Linked DNA regions of Neodiprion lecontei. Each later gene encodes a partner of the first gene's protein in a complex. Links are inferred from orthologs where the notes say so. Each region holds a gene or a part of one and is shown on either strand. Other genes may lie near its edges. The genes, in order: rab5 GDP/GTP exchange factor and ras-related protein Rab-21.

The links.
Region 2: the proteins of rab5 GDP/GTP exchange factor (region 1) and ras-related protein Rab-21 are in contact, whole or in part, in a crystal structure (PDB 2OT3), measured with the Homo sapiens proteins. The link is inferred for Neodiprion lecontei from reciprocal best matches to the Homo sapiens genes RABGEF1 and RAB21. Residues at the interface, in NP_001273991.1 of Homo sapiens: Leu253, Cys254, Lys296, Phe299, Asn300, Lys303, Pro309, Ala310, Ser311, Ala312, Asp313, Phe315, Leu316, Pro317, Ile320, Leu347, Met348, Thr349, Gly350, Glu351, Gly353, Tyr354, Tyr355, Thr357, Asn358, Cys360, Cys361, Ala364, Phe365, Ser373; in NP_055814.1 of Homo sapiens: Ser19, Phe20, Lys21, Gly26, Glu27, Gly28, Lys32, Thr33, Leu37, Thr50, Thr51, Leu52, Gln53, Ala54, Ser55, Phe56, Ala71, Trp73, Asp74, Thr75, Ala76, Gly77, Gln78, Arg80, Phe81, Leu84, Ile87, Tyr88, Asp91.

What each region holds. Positions count from the first base shown.
Region 1 is NC_060261.1:2,397,426-2,405,847, forward strand, and holds rab5 GDP/GTP exchange factor, read left to right. Parts: upstream 1-2,618; 5' UTR 2,619-2,733; exon of another isoform or gene 2,734-2,811; 5' UTR 2,812-2,838; coding exon 2,839-3,008; intron 3,009-3,187; coding exon 3,188-3,306; intron 3,307-3,529; coding exon 3,530-3,787; intron 3,788-3,864; coding exon 3,865-3,994; intron 3,995-4,154; coding exon 4,155-4,252; intron 4,253-4,328; coding exon 4,329-4,585; intron 4,586-4,693; coding exon 4,694-4,825; intron 4,826-4,893; coding exon 4,894-5,154; intron 5,155-5,291; coding exon 5,292-5,735; 3' UTR 5,736-6,833; downstream 6,834-8,422. Other genes in the region: centrosomal protein of 131 kDa, read right to left, coding at 48-207, 281-498, 624-1,065, 1,224-1,323, 1,413-1,509, 1,617-2,084. UniProt on the Homo sapiens protein: Rab effector protein acting as linker between gamma-adaptin, RAB4A or RAB5A. Involved in endocytic membrane fusion and membrane trafficking of recycling endosomes. Stimulates nucleotide exchange on RAB5A. Can act as a ubiquitin ligase.
Region 2 is NC_060261.1:7,272,476-7,281,571, forward strand, and holds ras-related protein Rab-21, read left to right. Parts: upstream 1-2,927; 5' UTR 2,928-3,196; coding exon 3,197-3,346; intron 3,347-3,439; coding exon 3,440-3,607; intron 3,608-4,232; coding exon 4,233-4,351; intron 4,352-4,740; coding exon 4,741-4,984; 3' UTR 4,985-7,747; downstream 7,748-9,096. Other genes in the region: rho GTPase-activating protein 1, read right to left, coding at 8,413-8,586, 8,675-8,781, 8,872-9,072. UniProt on the Homo sapiens protein: The small GTPases Rab are key regulators of intracellular membrane trafficking, from the formation of transport vesicles to their fusion with membranes.

The DNA.
Region 1 (8,422 bases):
GTTGCTTGGTATAAGTCATTATTAGTTTCAGTATGACCTGAACGTACATTGAATTGTGAACGTGCTTGACTTATCGCAGCATCTCTCTCAGCATTGAGTCGTTTATGTTCTTGAGCTAGCAGATTTTTTTCACGTTCAAGATCGTCCAGCAGTTTGCGCCGCTGTTCTTGAAATAAATTCTCTTGCTGTTCTAGTTTCTCCTGATACCTGTGAATGTTATCAGACGGAATCTTTTATTGGTATCTAAGTAAGCTGCGTGATGTCTGAACATACATTGTACCTTGTTCTGAGAATATCTTTTTCGCTACTCAATAACTTTTCATGGCTCGCAGTTAGCTCAAGACGCAACTGCTCCAGCTGTTGATTTGAGCGGCGAATTGTCCGCAGCTCGGTATCCTGAAGCTCTTTGATGTGAGCACTGCGTATTTCTTGAAGCTCCTGCTGATGCTGCTCTACCATACTTCGCAGTTCTGGCTCTAGCCCCTTCACAGTCATTTCCTGAACAAGTAAAATGGAACAATTTGACTAGAGATTCGATACTAACATTTTTTTACCAACACATGTTTATATATTGATTGTGAGATAAAAGTTAGTTGTTCCACAAGCGTACATCTGATTAGCACCTTTATTTTAGAAGTTTTTGCTTCTAGCCAACGTTCGCGTCTGATCTTTTCAGAAGCGGCACAAAGTTCTCTAGCTCGTCGGAGTTCCACCGCGTGTCTATCAGCCACAACTTTTAACTCCCGATGATATTTCACTTCCATTTCTTTGATATGCTCAGTCAAGGAGTTGCATTTCTCAGTCAAATTTTTCTTATCTGATATTATTTGCTCGATAAATTTCTGATGCCTCTTTATCGTCGTCTGATATTTTGTCTTCTGAGTCTGCAGCTCAGTGCAATGCTGCTTTTTTTGCAATTCTAGCTTCTCGCAAGCAGAATGCCTTTGTGATTTTAATTCATTTTTTAAAATTTTTAAAGTCTCATCCCGTTCTTCCAATTGCAACCTAAGAGTCGCTAAATCGTCCTTTATCGTTTCAGGTATATGGGTTTGTGCGGGATGAATTCTGCAAGAAACATAAAACATTACCAACGGGATTCACACAAATCACACCTCGGTGCGAAAATCTTTGCACTCGCAAATAGCACTGCCTCCATATGAAATACTATACAATGCATATGCTAAAAACACAAATTCATACAAATTTTTGATGACCAATCTTACCCTTGATTGTTACAGTATGGAATAGATCGACTATTCAGTGTTGCTTCAATAATCTTTGAATGCGCGTAAGCTCGATTGTTTGGAACATCTTCTAGGTATCCTAGAAAGAAATGTAAAAATTCAACAGCTAAAGAGTTGCAGTATTCCCGTCATACCTTATACCATCACTGTCAGAGTCGCATATTTTACCTTCGTGGTTCAAAATCCCTAACAGGGACATGATGTCCTCGTAAGTTGACAGAGAAGACCCGCATGATTGATTGGAGTAATCTTTCTCCGGTTGAAGCTAATTGGGGAAGAAATTGTGATCAAAAGGTGTAAAAGCTAGCAGCAGTGTTTAAGCGCTCTAAATTCTGGAAATACAAGATATTTTCTCGAGCAATCGATACTTGCCTGATTGATGGAATAGTCTTGATCGTTTCCATAAAAGTGGCCCCCTTCGTTATTGACAAAACTTCCAGTAGTATTTGAATCGATATTCAGTTGTGCTTCATTTCCAGATAAATTTTTTTCCAAATCATTGATCATCGAGCAAAGCTGATCGAAGGAGCAAGAATTTGGCTCGATGACATTCTGATTAAAATCACTAGTAGTTTGCAGCTTTTTTAAGTCGTATCCAATGTTTTCAATCATAGCATTAATCTGATTGGGATGGGTCTCTGCTTCTTTCAGGTATTCGCCTTTTTTGGAATCCAGTCCTCCGTTAGTTTCGCAGAATCTTGACGGGTTTGAATTCCGTACGCGGTCTTCTGCGGAATTGCACCTCTGCATGGGCAAGCCATGTGCCATTCCGTTATCGGACATGGCAAAGTTACTAATCGGGGGCTTAGTGACAACCCTTGGATGCTGTATGTTGATCATTTCTTGCCATTTGCATTGTAATTAATTAAGGATTCCTTATACACTGACCACAACGTTCATTGAAACGTCAAGCCTTCGCTCGAAATTTCGTATGACGCGGTTGCTATGGAAACGCGAATGTCGCTCTTATTGCAGATGGCGTTTCAAGTATTGACTTCTTGTTGGTATAGTTCAGTGCTTAGAATTGACATAGAACTTCAACTGCATTTTACACAGAGAGGGTGGTCAACTTTGTACACCATTCATGAATATTGACTCACTTCACATGAGTTTCACAAGGAAGCAGAAGAAGAATCAAAGATGAGTTGCGAGATGACCAGCGCCTCCAAAAGACGTTTGACAAAATTAAACCAAACTACGGCCTTGCTCGGAGCAATGTAAATAAATTAATAGCACGACATTATCTGCAGCGTGCCGAAATCGATATTCTGTTACCGACCGCGACGCACGCTTCAGATAATGTCGCGCTACTACTCTATTCACACTGCGCCACGCAGAGACGTAGTTCAGTTTAATTTCGTAAACCAGGTTTTTGGGGGCGTTGGTCATTTCTCAACTTATCTTTGCCGTAGTTAGACTCTTCTGACGTGCTTGTGACGGACAGTCGATTTTTGACAGCTCACGTGAAGAGGTTATGTTCTCCTCGTAGGTAGGGGTTCAATTGTTTGCATTTCGCTTATTACGCAAATGCGTTAAGTAACCAAATTTGAAAACTTACTGCACCCAGTTGGAGTTTTACTCTCCAATTATCGACATGTACTCGATCAAGACGCCGACTCTCCGCATTGACGAGGCCGATTTAAAGTGCAAAAATGGTTGTGGATATTTTGGAAACGAAGAATGGCAAGGCTACTGTAGCAAATGTCACAGAGAACATTTGCAAAAGCAACGGGCTCAAAGAGAACACGCCCGCATTCACGAAAGGTATTTATTATACCAGTGCAACAATTCACTGACACATTGTAACATGCTATCAATCAAATGAATCATTCCAGGTATAACTACCGACACTACTTTCTATTGATAAGCCCTTTATTGATTAGGTCAATATTACTGGTAACGAATAATTGTTCGAACTGCGTTATATATTTACATTTTTTCAGTGATTCAAGCTCTAAGACTACCGTGCACGGTTTTTACAAATTTGAAGAAAAGAAGCGACAGCAAGAAAAGAAAACTAAACTATTAAAGCTGTCAGTCTTTCGCAAGACCGCAACGAAAAGTATGTCCTTATTTTAATGTCTCACATTTTATTTTCATTCTATGATACATCATTCTTAATTACGTTTCATCGATCTTTCAACTAAAGCAGAAACCTAATTATATAATAACAACCATAATAATATACTTCTAGACAACTGGTAAAGTTTTGGTGTTTCCATTCTTTCCTGTCATTCATTTTGATAAGATGTGAAACGTCATGATGGAAATATTCCTTATTTAAGCTCAAGGTTTTAGCGAGATATGGCAGGAGCTGGTTAAGGATAATCCTGAACTTGACAAAGTGAAATCGGAGACCCGTGACCTTCTGGTACAGATCGCTAAGACTCCGGCTGAGAAAGATGTACGAAAGTGTATTCATTCCTTCGTAAACAACATCTTACAAATGAAGGATATTAAGAGCGTTGAGGAGCTATCCGAACTAACTCAGAACTTCTATCAAGTATTTGCCAAGCGAATGGAAAACAGTCCCAATTATGCAGGTAATATTGCACTCTTGGTTATTCATGCGTAGGATATTCACAGAACTGCAGTAATCTCTATTATTATTAATTTTTAGATGTTTCTCCAGAAACAAAAGATCGACTACTAGACTACATCGAAAGATACACTATGACCTTACTCTATAGGATACTTTTCTGCCCGCCATCAACTACAGATGAGGACAAGGACCTTGCTATTCAAAACAGGTAACATCTCAGTTTTCCAATTCAGAGAATGGATGGAAACAGATAAGGTGAAAAATATGCTCAGTCAGTAACATCTTTCTAAACCAATCAAATCTGGTCAAGATTAATTTGATTTATGAATCAAGCTCGAGAATTTTTCTAATCAATCAGGAAATTTTAGAATACGGCAGTTGAATTGGGTGAGCGGAAAGAATCTGGAGTGTCGAATCCACGAAACTAGTTCTGACGTGAGAGAGCTTGTTTACACCTCAATAACAGGTAAAACAATCAAACTTCAAAGCTCAATCGGTCTGATTAATTTCACATAAATGTAACATAGTAACAATTGTTTCAGATTTATTAAATATGGACTCTGTAAAAGCACCGCAAGAGAAGCTTGCCTGTGTTGTTCATTGTTGTAGAAATATATTTGTACTACTGCAACAATCTGTTGGGGGTCCAGCTTCAGCCGATGAATTTTTACCGGCGCTTATATTCATTGTGCTGAAAGCTAATCCTGCAAGATTGAAAAGCAACATAAATTTCATCACCCGATTCTGTAATGCTAGCAGATTAATGACTGGTGAAGGAGGTTACTACTTCACAAATTTGGTATTAGTTCTACTCTGGGCTACGAAGAACCGCACAACTCAAAGCAATGAATATAAAATTTGCTGAAATCCATGCCTTCAAGAAATTTTATTCCCAATTTTGTTCCAGTGTTGCGCAGTATCCTTCATAGAAAATCTTACTGCCGAGTCATTAAACATGCCTCAGAAAGATTTCGATGCATATATGTCAGGAGCACGCGTTCCAGCGAGCACATGGGAATCTGCTCTCACTATGTGCGAGGTAATGATGAATACATCGTTGAAGAATAATTCCAACACTCTCATAGCTTACAGATTTTTATAATTTAGAGTATACACCTGATGTGCGAACACATAACACTGCTGGATGAATTGAAAGCGAAAAATTTGGAAATCATAGCAGAATCCGATGAGCTTAAGAAAAAAATGCAACAATTCCCAGAAAAAGTTGAGGCGGAAGTTGACGCTGCGATAACTCGCACTCCCCTTATTATCACGCCGAGTCAAAGGATACCGACTAATCTTGACTGCGTTGATGCAGAGAGCTACCAGCTACCACCACCAATTATACCACAAGTACAAAATATTGATGTAAAATCATTTGTTCCAAATTTAATATCAACTTATATCTGTAATATGAAATGCTGAAAATTTCTGTGAACTTACTTTCTATTTGCGAATACTTTTTAATCCTCACAACATTACTTTATCGCAGTATTCATCCACAGATTTACCCTCAAACCCTGAACGACGAAACAAATGAAACACTGACATCTCACGTTGGTGATTACAACGGACCTTCGATCGAGGATTGCATAACACCATCTCCAACTTTTGATTTCCCAGCCTTTGACTCAGATGGTGGTTTGCATGGAAGTAAAGGGGATGACGATACCAGCCTAATTAGCTTGGATACACAATGCGATCTTACAGCAGAAGAATCGTATCTACAAGACAGAGACGCCTCTGATAGTTTGCTAGACGAATCGCAAGCATCGGGCACTAATTTACCATCGCCTCTAAAACCAGTTTGTTCTCTACGTGAAGATTACCATGGATTCTCAATCCAAGGTTCTAACATTCCCACGATCCCGTGCAACACTGGTGATCTTTCTCACAACACTTCGGACTTGGAGGCAGATAACTATTCTGGCTACTTTCACAACATTTGAACGATTTGCAATTTAAACATACACTTGATTAATTTCAACCATAACATATATATCTAGATATGCACATTCATACATACCATACATATAGATATATATACACATACATATAGGTATATATACACATACATATAGGTATGTATACAGTAGTATGCAGGAATTAAGATGTAACTTGCATCTTATCTAGTCAGCTTCGAAGGATTGGATCGTGTCTTGTATCGATGGCGAGGTAACGTCTGAGATTATCGCTTTGTTATTCAAGATCCAATGAAATCAGCAATATTTCTAATATAACTTACAAATCAGATGCTGGATTAAAAACTATAGGTTTCAAGCTAGGATATTTGCACTGCTATGCTTACAATTATCTTATAGATTCTGCTACAGTGAAAAGTGAAAAAATGACAAGTAGGTGCTACGTTACCAAGACACTGCATCAAAAGTGATCAGTATACATTCTGGAGTAGATCATCATGTAAGTAGGCTATAATCTGAATTTAGATATAAATATTTACCATTTTGTAGCTACAGTTGTCATCATTTTCTCCAATTTGTGAGTTGACCACATTTTTATATACATCACAATTTCAGTGCATGTCAAAAAAACTGATATTCCAAACTTATATGAATATATAATTGCTAATGCCGTACTTTAATAAATTCAATTATAATCAACTAGGTGGTAGTCATTTGTAAACATTAATTATTTTCATATCGGTTTAACGATCAACCTTTGTCACTCACACTCAATTTGATTTCAGAGATACTGCACTAGACTAAGTGAGCGAATTGTGTCAGTCATCATTTTTCTTTTAATCCGATAGGTCCATCCTGACTAACAATAATATATATTTAAATGAATTTGTCTTGATATGAGGTAAAAAATATATTTTCATTAGAATTATAACGAAAACTAATATTGGTTATTGTAATTGGCACTTTTAATCGAAACTTATATTCACTATACATGGGTATACAAAGAGTGTATGAAAATAATTTTAAGGCCTGTACAAATAAATTCACGTATCGTATGAAATTTATTTATAGTGGTGTAAACCAAAAATGAAGTATAAAGTCAATACATGTGGTTGGAATACAGAATTTCGGCAGAATTTATTGTTAGTATGATATATAGCAACATTGAATTAGTGAATTGTGCAAATCGTGTTTTTTTTTTTTGTACATCACATTGACTAACTGATATCAATTACATATTTGGTCTCAAAGTCTGATTAGAATTCAAATTTTTTAATCTCTTACGGGCAGCTAGTTACCGGATTATAAACGTGACAAAAGTTAAATATATATAAACTATTTGTTAAACTATGATTGTACAGAAACCTAAAGAAGTGTGTTTGGAATGTGAAAAATATGTGCTACCTCACGCAAAGATTTTCTTAATTATTGAAAGCCAATGATACAAATAAGTTTGTACTTGGAGAAATTCTGTTATAGAACCATTTTATTACCTAATATCAGTTAAAGTTCTGTTTTCGGTATAAGTTTCACATTTTTTCACAAAGCCCGTTAAAGTGTGTCAAATATTTTTAATGCAGTTTGAGTTTATTTTTTAATTGGTGAACTTACAATATTTACAATTATCAAACATAATATCATCGTTGATACATAAGAAATAAGTCTTTATGCCAGAGAGTGTAGACAGTGTTAGTGTTAGTGTTAGTGTGTTATAATTTTTATATATTCATATTTATTCTCATCTCAACTACCAACTGATTGCCGGTAAGTAAAACTGAATCTTATATAAAAGTTACAAAAGTATTGCAATCAGTGAAAAAGTATACTATATTATTGCAGAGTAATGAATGAAAATTCCATATCTATAATATCCTCAAAGTGTAATAAAGACACAATAAAGTGTTACAGAGTTATAAAACGAGCGAAGAATTTCAGTATTCTGCAATAACATATTTGAATATCTAGAGTTCATACTAAAAAAAATACCTACAAGATCTATGTAATCGCATTATCACTAAAATCTACCCTGTTTCATTAGGTTATCAATCTATCTAATTATAAATAGTATTACAAGATATTGATTCATTTTTAACAGTAGTCGGTGAATAGAAAAATAATTACATAACGTAACGAATAAAGTACAATAAGCCTTGTTTTACACTTTCGTAGAAAGTTACTACTTTTACATTAAAAATCTATAGTATTTTCTATACCTTCGTCGAGTATAGAATATGCCCATTCGCGTCTATCTACTTTCTATATCTACACAAGTTTACTGGGCAAAACGAACTGGGGATGCCAAATGAAATATAAATGAGACGAAGGTCTTATCGTACATATAAATACTCCTGTCTCATTTATATTTGATCCAAACACTGCTGGAATTATGTGCAACAAGCATTTCCTAAAGTTGCGCTTATTAATTAAATAATGTCACACACTATTTTGTACCTAGAAACTGCTACAGTCGGCTAAAATATAGGTAGACTTGCTTCTATGATTATACATTGCACTTAATTACGTTTACATCTATTGATGTAAATTTCATCACAAGAACTACAATGTGCCTGACTGCAACTGAATTTTTTTATCGTAACAAGTTTCTACTTAAATCAGGAATTAATATTTCTCCACTTATGCATAGTGGATTTAAGCATTCTATACCATGTTATTTTCAAATTTACAATTTGGTAAAATTTTAACCATGAATTTTA
Region 2 (9,096 bases), about 4.9 Mb from region 1:
CTTTCAACGCCGGACACATTTCTCCGTTGTGAAACGTCACGCGTCCCTGTCCTAGACTTACTTTAACGCTCCGTTATACAATTTCTATTATTTAATCTGAACGAACTAGGAAGAAACAGAATGTATTTAGGTGAAACCGCGATCGAGAGACGCGCAAGGCACGTATAAACGTGCCCCTGACACCATTACCTGATACTTGAAACTTTCATTCTCATTTTTACTGTCGCTGTTAATTCCGCAAAGTGTTACGTACGAATAAAAATAAAAAAAATATATCGAAACACTTTTACTCGACGTATGTATTGTAACGTACTTGACGGGGTTTGGCTCGTCTAATTAACGAAACGATACAGGCGTTGCAATCAGTTGAAAAACCGTTTCTCTCATTACGTTTTCGCGGATGTAATTTTTTTTACCCAGAGTTTACTGACATTTCAGTGAATCAGGAAGGAACCAAATCAGTTCCTTGGTATCAACGCAACGACGTGTGTTACATTTACGACATACGTAACAATCGTGACGCTGACTGTGGTTTGGGATAAAACGATGATAAAACAAATGCAAGAAAGTGAGAAGGGGAAAAACCCTCGTGACTGCCTCCGATTGATATTACACGGTGAAATTTGAGATGTCAGGGTGAAGTACGCGACTGCATGTAATTCCCTAACAAGAAAGTGGAGCAGTGGAACGAGCATGACAGATGGAGAGACGCAACGACGTGCGCGAGAAGGAGGCAGGCATGGCGCGTGGCACCGCACGGCGGTCGCCATAACCAAACCGCCTCGCATCGGTCCTGAGATGTACCGACAAGGAGAGAGACATGCGTGCGATAGTCGTTTGTTTGCGGATTACATACACGTCGACGCGCGCCAATTGTCAACATAACATGGTCAGAAATTGAGGCAACGGAACTTCAGTTGGGGATAAACAAACCCTGCCGCTGTCAAACTGGAATTCACTGACGTGCAAGCGTCAACGAATATCGTGTGCACGTCGGCTGAGACCCCGCCATACGAACGCCATGACAGATGAGACAGTACGCAAACAAACAAGTCCACTTGCGAAATAGAACGGCGTCCCATTTTAGGAAGGACTAAATCGAACGCTGATAAAACTCGATTGTCCAAGTAGAATAAAGGAGAAAAAGAAACAAACGAAAGTTATCTCACGATAATGACAGATATCGGCGGCATCTCGTCAGATGTCAAACGCGTGGTAGAAAAATGCGAAATATTTCACAAAATCTCATAGCGTACACTTTCGGTGAAAGTTTCGATACGTATATTAATTATTAACAACGATCGAATGGCACGGACCGGCAACCGACCGGGCAACCGGGAGAAATGCTTTTCTCAACGTTACGATCTTACCCACGCGAAAAATATTTGCTGTTAGAAAATGCTTGCTCTATGTCATGATACAGCAGGCTGGCAGTTCTACAGCGGCCGGAGACGCTGACGTTTAGTCACATATTTCTTGATAATAGAGGGATAAACGAATGTGACAATAGTTCCAAATATAAATAGCTAATTGCGCTGGCTAAATATGATAATCTCGCATTAAATCCGCCGAGATTATCTAATAAAACGCTAAAATTAGTATGACTGATTTGCTTACCTTTTCAATACAGGTGACGGCCGGATTCAAGAATTCTTCAGCGCAATCTTAACGCGCAGGCTTTGGTTCACGCTGTCAGTCAAACTGGCAGCTTTTAGATGACAAACTTTGGAAACTACTTCATGCCGGAATTCTGTGATATTTTTATTTACCGCATATCAATAGAATATTTTATAAGACAATACACACCGCGCTTCACCAAGATTTTAATTTACAAAATGTCAAGTAATCTATCTGGCTGTCAGAATTAAGCTTCCGGTTATCGCTGATTCGCTTCCTGTGCGCCATTTGAGTTTTGTTGCTAGACGAGAGTTTTCGATGTCACCGCCAGAGTGCGTGATGATTTTTGTATTATCGGCATTGAGCTGTGTTGTCAGTCGTGATGTCGAATTTTAACGTTCGAATCTTTGGCTTTATCCTACAGCACAAATATTTACTAATATTACGGCAACTTGCGGGCAAAATTTGTTAATTTTTCTTTCTCCAATATCACCATTTCATCCACAGAGAAATAATGCATAGATACGGTACAAATCTCGTCGACATACGAGATGATTTAAAATTTGGGGTTACCGCAAATGCGCACGTTCATTCGAAACAGGTTTTCCCCGTCATTGCAGTATATTTTGAGCTGGTATTTTTATCCAGCGTAGAGTAAATAGTTGATACTTTTGCTCAATGCTACTCAATTGGGATTATATTCTCGCACGACGAAATAATTAATTATGTAAACACTACGAACCACCAAATGGAGAACGTCATATTTCGACAGTTTATAACAATTTCCACCGGTTGATTCAGGTTAAATGAGGACAAGTCCGTTTCTTTGAAAAATAAGAAAGCTCATACATTTAAATCTTTGAGAATAGAGTGAACATTAGCAACAATTAAGAGGATTACAAAGACTCATTGATATACTCCTTGTTAATTCGATTTGGCAGCTCGGAGAGCTAAGACGCCAAAGGCAATGACATTTGAATGCATCAAGATTACTTTCGTCTCTTAAATGTTTCCCGAAGAATGATCGCAAGGCATTAAATGCATTGTAAAGCAAAGATTGTTCCGAGTTTCTAGTCGATTCAAAACGATCGAGATATTGCAAATTGTTCTAAGCGTATAACGAACTGATCTCGTTAGAAACCATTTGTTGACGTCGGATTGACGTATCGTATGCGGCATACAGTGTTTATTTTTTCCTAGAGGTCGTAGACCACCTGCCATCTACTGTAGATGATTCTAACCTTCGTATCAAGAAGATAACGCACGACGATCGCGCATGCGTTTAAATCTGTTGGTGAGGAAAATTTCTTGTAATGATACAGGTGAGAACAGCTGATCTCTCGCACTTGACGTTCCGTGGACAACCGCGAGAGAGATAGTAGTTGTAAAAAAAAAAAGTAAAATTACGTACATACATACGATATACATCGATTACTTCTACTGTCAGAGAGCTAGGTTTATAGAATATAATGACAAATACTAGTTTGTACGTTAATGATAAACGCGTAAAATAGTATTTTCATAAAAGCTTATTCTCATTTCTTTTCTCAATTATAATATTATTTTACTTTTGTAAACAATGGCCAGTTCCTCACCGACTGCGAATAATTCAATCAATGGTTACAATTTTAAAGTTGTTTTGCTCGGCGAAGGTTGTGTAGGAAAAACATCTGTCGCTCTACGATATGTCGAGGACAAATTCAACGACAAACATATCACCACTCTCCAGGTATTTGAATCGTCATTTTTTTCTCTTATCCTATTTGGAACGATACGTGCATACATAAATCATTCAACTTGTAACCTATTTACTTATTCGCAGGCTTCGTTTCTTAATAAGAAACTCAACATTAATGGAAAAAGAGTGAATTTGGCTATCTGGGATACGGCAGGACAAGAAAAGTTTCATGCCTTAGGACCCATCTACTATCGTATGTCAAACGGCGCAATTCTGGTATACGATATTACCGACGAGGACTCGTTTCAAAAGGTTCGAAGAGTGAATGAACACCAGCTTGTAACATATATTATTTTATTTTATTTTATTCACAATTAATTAAAAATAAATCAGTAAACTGCGTATTGAGTCAGAAGTTTGGATCAATAATCATCAAGATGCGATGTTATAATTGGATACGTAAATTTGCAATAAGCTTTGCTCCGAAACTTGTTCAATTGAGGATACGATTTAGATACCGCGATATTATGGCTGACAATACTTATTTTCTCAACTTTATGTGAAAAATATGGAGTTGTTTGATTTGAACAACTTGAATACTTTGAAAATAACTGGATTAAATTTTACTTGTTTCTTGTGCAAGCTGTTTCGCATCGGCATCGATAAAAGTCAAGTAAAGTTTCTTCGACTTTACACCAAAGAAATAAACGATGTTTATGTTGCTTTAACTCCATCATCCATTCTTACAAATTTGTGATTTACCACTTTTCATTTATTATCAATTTCTCAATTGCAAAACTACTCTCATTAGTTAAGTTGCCTTTCATTTTTATCAATCTCCTATATCAGTTCTACACTTCGTTATATTACTTTATTTTTCGTTCAAAAGTGTAGAATCATTATTTGATTCCTCATTTTTATATTTATATATTTATAGGTAAAAAACTGGGTGAAGGAGTTGAAAAAGATGCTTGGCAGTGAAATTTGCCTTGTCATAGCTGGTAACAAATTAGATCTTGAGAGGGATCGGAATGTAACACAGGAAGAAGCAGAAGAGTGAGTTTTGTTCTAGTAAAGTATATGTCAGTTCACATTATAAACTTCATAAAAGTATTTGGACATCACTTTCAGAAGACCTAAAAACTGTACAAAATCAACAAAGAAAGAAAACGAGTATGAAAATATCTGTCGACGAACCTGAATCTTTTCTCTGATAAGATAATCTTGTTTTTTATTTTTTCAATCATCAATCTGCTTTGTTTAACCCAGCATACAAAGTTATAATTAGACTAGACTGAAATAAGAAGAAAAAACAAACAATTACATGCGAAATAAATGCACAAGCACAGATATTCATTATTACATTTCATTCTTATCAAGGAAGCAAGCTACCAATCTACTATTTTATGTTTAACAGAATCAATTTATACGAATTATTTCTTCAGATATGCCAGACAAGTTGGTGCGGTCCACTTTCACACATCAGCAAAACAGAATCAAAACATTGAAGAAATGTTTCTAGATTTAACCCGCCGCATGATGGTACATGCAGATATGGTTGAGCAAAAATCTACTCTTACACGGTCAAATAGCACGCGACGGAATGTCGTGGTTGTCGAAGACGAAGCTGAGCAAGAGAGACCAGCTTCAAGCTCCTGCTGTGGAGGATTTTCGCAAAGTTCATCATAGGTCGATGACGTGGCTTAAGTTTTTAGGGGGTTTGAGTTATACATAATTGTATATAGCAGTTGTTTTACAATTATAAAACACGAAAATTTGCAAATTTCAATGCGATCAAGTATACTGTAGTCGTTTTGAACACATACAGCCTGTGGATCAAGTACGAATTAGGTGGATATACTTACAGGTATATGAAAACGTAATTGTATTCAATCAGATCAGTGTCTCATTTACCAGTCGATCATAAAAATTTAACAATAATTGAAATTGAAAATAAATAAACTTCTTATTTATCTGTATTTCTTTGATAGTTTGAAATTTTTACCTGGAACAAGCCATTTAGAAATGTCAACAGTAAAATCAATAGCTTACCTGCCTACCGAAGACGAGAATACAGGAGATATTTTACACTATATGTTAAGCGATATACCGTATCATATGCACGTGGTTTACCAAGAGTAGAACAGAGTGAACATTCAGCAATATTTTAGCTGTATCACTTCCACGTGTACTTGCATATATTCAAATATTTAATCATTAATATTTTAGCTGATGCTGTAACAACTTTACATTACTCGCAGTGTTAAAATGTGAAAGAAAGTTATATATCATGCTTATTTCAGTTTTAATCCCATGTAAATTAGTTAGCTTCACATGGATTATTATAGGAATAACTTGTTACTAACGACTTTGAAACTTTTTTGCTATGGGAATTTTCAAAAACCTCGTGAAAGTTTTTAATAAAAGTGTTTTGTACGCAAGATAAATTTGTGTGAATCTACCATTGAAATTCCAAAACATTTTAGACAGCATAATGTTCCTATTGAATGCAAGCTCATATATATATCTAATAGATATAAGTATAATTAATGTATAACGTTTGAACGAAGAAAAAAATCAAATTTCAAATTACTGACGTATTTAGATTGTAGAAAAAGATTTATAAGGACGCCTATTTCGCGTTACTGTTCCAGACTGTGTAAATTCATAATTGTCTTTGACATGATGTTACATACCACTGTATCGAATTACCGAACTCGTACTAGGGACTTATAAATGATGTTATTATATAAATTACACTTGTTGTTTTGCGTTGCCATATACTGTATTTGTAAATATATTGCTGTCTATTGGCATATATTTACATGAATAAATTTAATATAATTTACGACCTTACTGTTTTTTCACTAGTATAAGTCTTCGAGACAGTGTCAAATAGTGATGACGATATTTTCTTAGTTTAGGCGAGATTCTGTATAAATTAAAGAAATGAGAATTCGATTGGTATAATTTGATTTTAGTACTATATTGTTTTTATTCAGATCCGTATGATGTTCGAAAGATAAAGATACAATGTGCTATTCTATCACAGGTACATGGATCGTGCATACATTTAGTTATCCTAACATTTACAGCTCTTGGTCAGAACTATAATGCAATGTAACATATAATGATATTTCGCTGAATAATGTGTTGACGTGTAAATTATGTATTATCCGGAATGACGAGTCAACCTATGATTGATGTATTTTTTTTTCATGTTCGCAAGTGGCAATTGTGCAATTACGTAATGCACATCATATAGGAATGTCTGTGGCAAGTTATTTATATTTTCATAAATTGTGTGCATGTCTCATATTGTTAGATGTGCGACAGAACAAATTCGTTTCAGACAGTTACAAGTTATTTAAAAAAAAAAAATTTTTTTTGTTCTTTTCTAAACACATTTGTTGACACTCTCTTTGAATATATTTGCAATTTCTTTCAAAACAAATTAATCGCGTATGCATAAGATTTTTTTAAACTTACAATTCAGTTTCTAACCAATGGTTATTTAAATTCTTGTCTGTTTAACGCTGTTGAAATACAGTTTTTGCGTCGCCAATTACAATTTTTATACTCAATTCGTTCAAGATTTCTGTATTTTGTTATATAGGTATATCTATTATCGATTGCTGAAAATTAATACTTGAGAAGTTCAAATTATGACATAAACTACGAAATATGATAAATGAAAATTACTATATCTCAGTATCTCACTTATTCGTCGTTCTTATGCCAGCATAAAACAATATTGAATAATTTGCTAATTCGATTATCATAATATTTTTGTCACTGTTCGTTATTATATGTATTTATATTTTATTCTTATACGCTTTTTTCAATACTTTATTTAAAAATCAGTACTATATTTATATGTATATATATCTATTCTATGAATTTATACACCATGAGATTATTTACAATTTATAAATTACAGTACGGAATGTGTCGAAGATTGTCTAACATTGTGTGACAAAATTCTTTGAGAATAATAAATTACTATTCTATGTAATATAATTGAAGAGAGACTTGGCTTTGGTTACCATTTACTGGAATATTGGTAAAACTGTAATGGGTATTACGCAAGAAATTCAATAAACCTAAGCAAACGCACATCTCAAATTTTTTAATTCGAATATAAATGATTATCTTTTACAATACTATACTGGTTGAAAAACTTTGTTACCAAGAAATATTCAATCTTCGATAATCATTCCGTAAAAAATATAATAATTACTAATTTTACCCATTTAATTAGACTATTTTGTGAGTATACCTACAGTTTACACTGATTACATTATATGACGTTCTCACCTATCTTTGGTATACAGTGGTAATTTTTTTCCTTTTTTTTTGTATAAATATTATTCACATGTTAAAAACTGCCATACAACACTGATCAGCTTGCTCACATTCATTCTACGCAACACTCATGACGATCGCAGCATATTTGGCTAGAAAAAAAGTTGTGCATTCATTATTGTGAAATACTTTACGAAGAAAACCTGTGTATGTTCTACGATTTTTGCTTTTCAGCAAGTATATAAATTAGTAAAAAATATCAACTATGCTTTACACGACAAAGACAAAAAGGAAAATATTTTATAGAACATTACACAAGAACGTGTGTTCAAACGTGAGGCTTTTTTGTAGATATTAAAAATTGGATTTGCGTGTACTTGCTACTGTGATTTATATAAAAATACTATATGCTCATTATTGAATTGTACTCATATGTAGGATCCATCTTGTGAATATGAAAATGCTTCGAGCTATATTCGATAAATAAGAGAAATATTATTCAAAATTAAATAACTGACCTGCAGTGTCCCTTCCAAGTCTGTAAATTAAAATTTTTAAAATCGAGGCAAATATAAAAGTTTTACCGATGCAATGATTTATGCAAAAATGAAAGCCGTGGAGCAAGTGTCTAATGTGCTCAAATTAGATTTTTTTTTTTTTTAATTAATTGACACATGTACTTTCATATTCCCCACAAATCCAATTTGAACAATCTGATTAGTGTTTCAGTCTGTTATTTGAAACGAGTACCAATTTTGTTAACGTTTTATAGGCCTTTAATGAATCAACACTTTTAGTAATCTAACCCAGTCTTAAATGATGAATATTTTATCTTGGTACATGAACAAAAAGTCGGTAAACTGATTGATCGGACCAATTGCTGAAAGTGACATTCCTCGAGAAGATGGAGCTCTTACTAAATTAGGACCGAATACTACTGCCAGATTATTCGATGTCATCTTGTTAAGATCACTTCTGTCCATTACCTACGAGTGTTAAAAAATATGAGTATTTGTTCCATGGCCACGACGTTCCATGAATTACAGTGAGAGAAACAATGAGAATTAAACTCACCCTGGATAAAAATTGAACGATATATTTCAAAAGACGATAGTTAGCTTCAGGTAGTTTTTCAAGAATCAATATCTTAACTTTCCGAGGTCGTTCGTCTTTTGATAAACCTTTGGAATGATGAAAAAAGATGAATGGTAAATAGGATCTAAATAGATGTTAATGTAGAACATCATCGGTTCAGAGTTGTTTTTACTTACTTTGAAACTGGGTTATTTCATCGTAAAGTTCGTAGGTCATAAGTGGTTCGTCCAGTTCTCGAAGGAATGTTTTTAGAAGTACAGCCGCTATGTGAGGATCACCTCGAAAATCTACAGGCAATCCCAAGTTACAACGGTTTTGAAGTTCTTTGATCACGGTTACATTGGCTGATCTTCTGAACAGGCCTTCAGTTTCCAATGCTGTCGAAGTAAAACAATGATGTT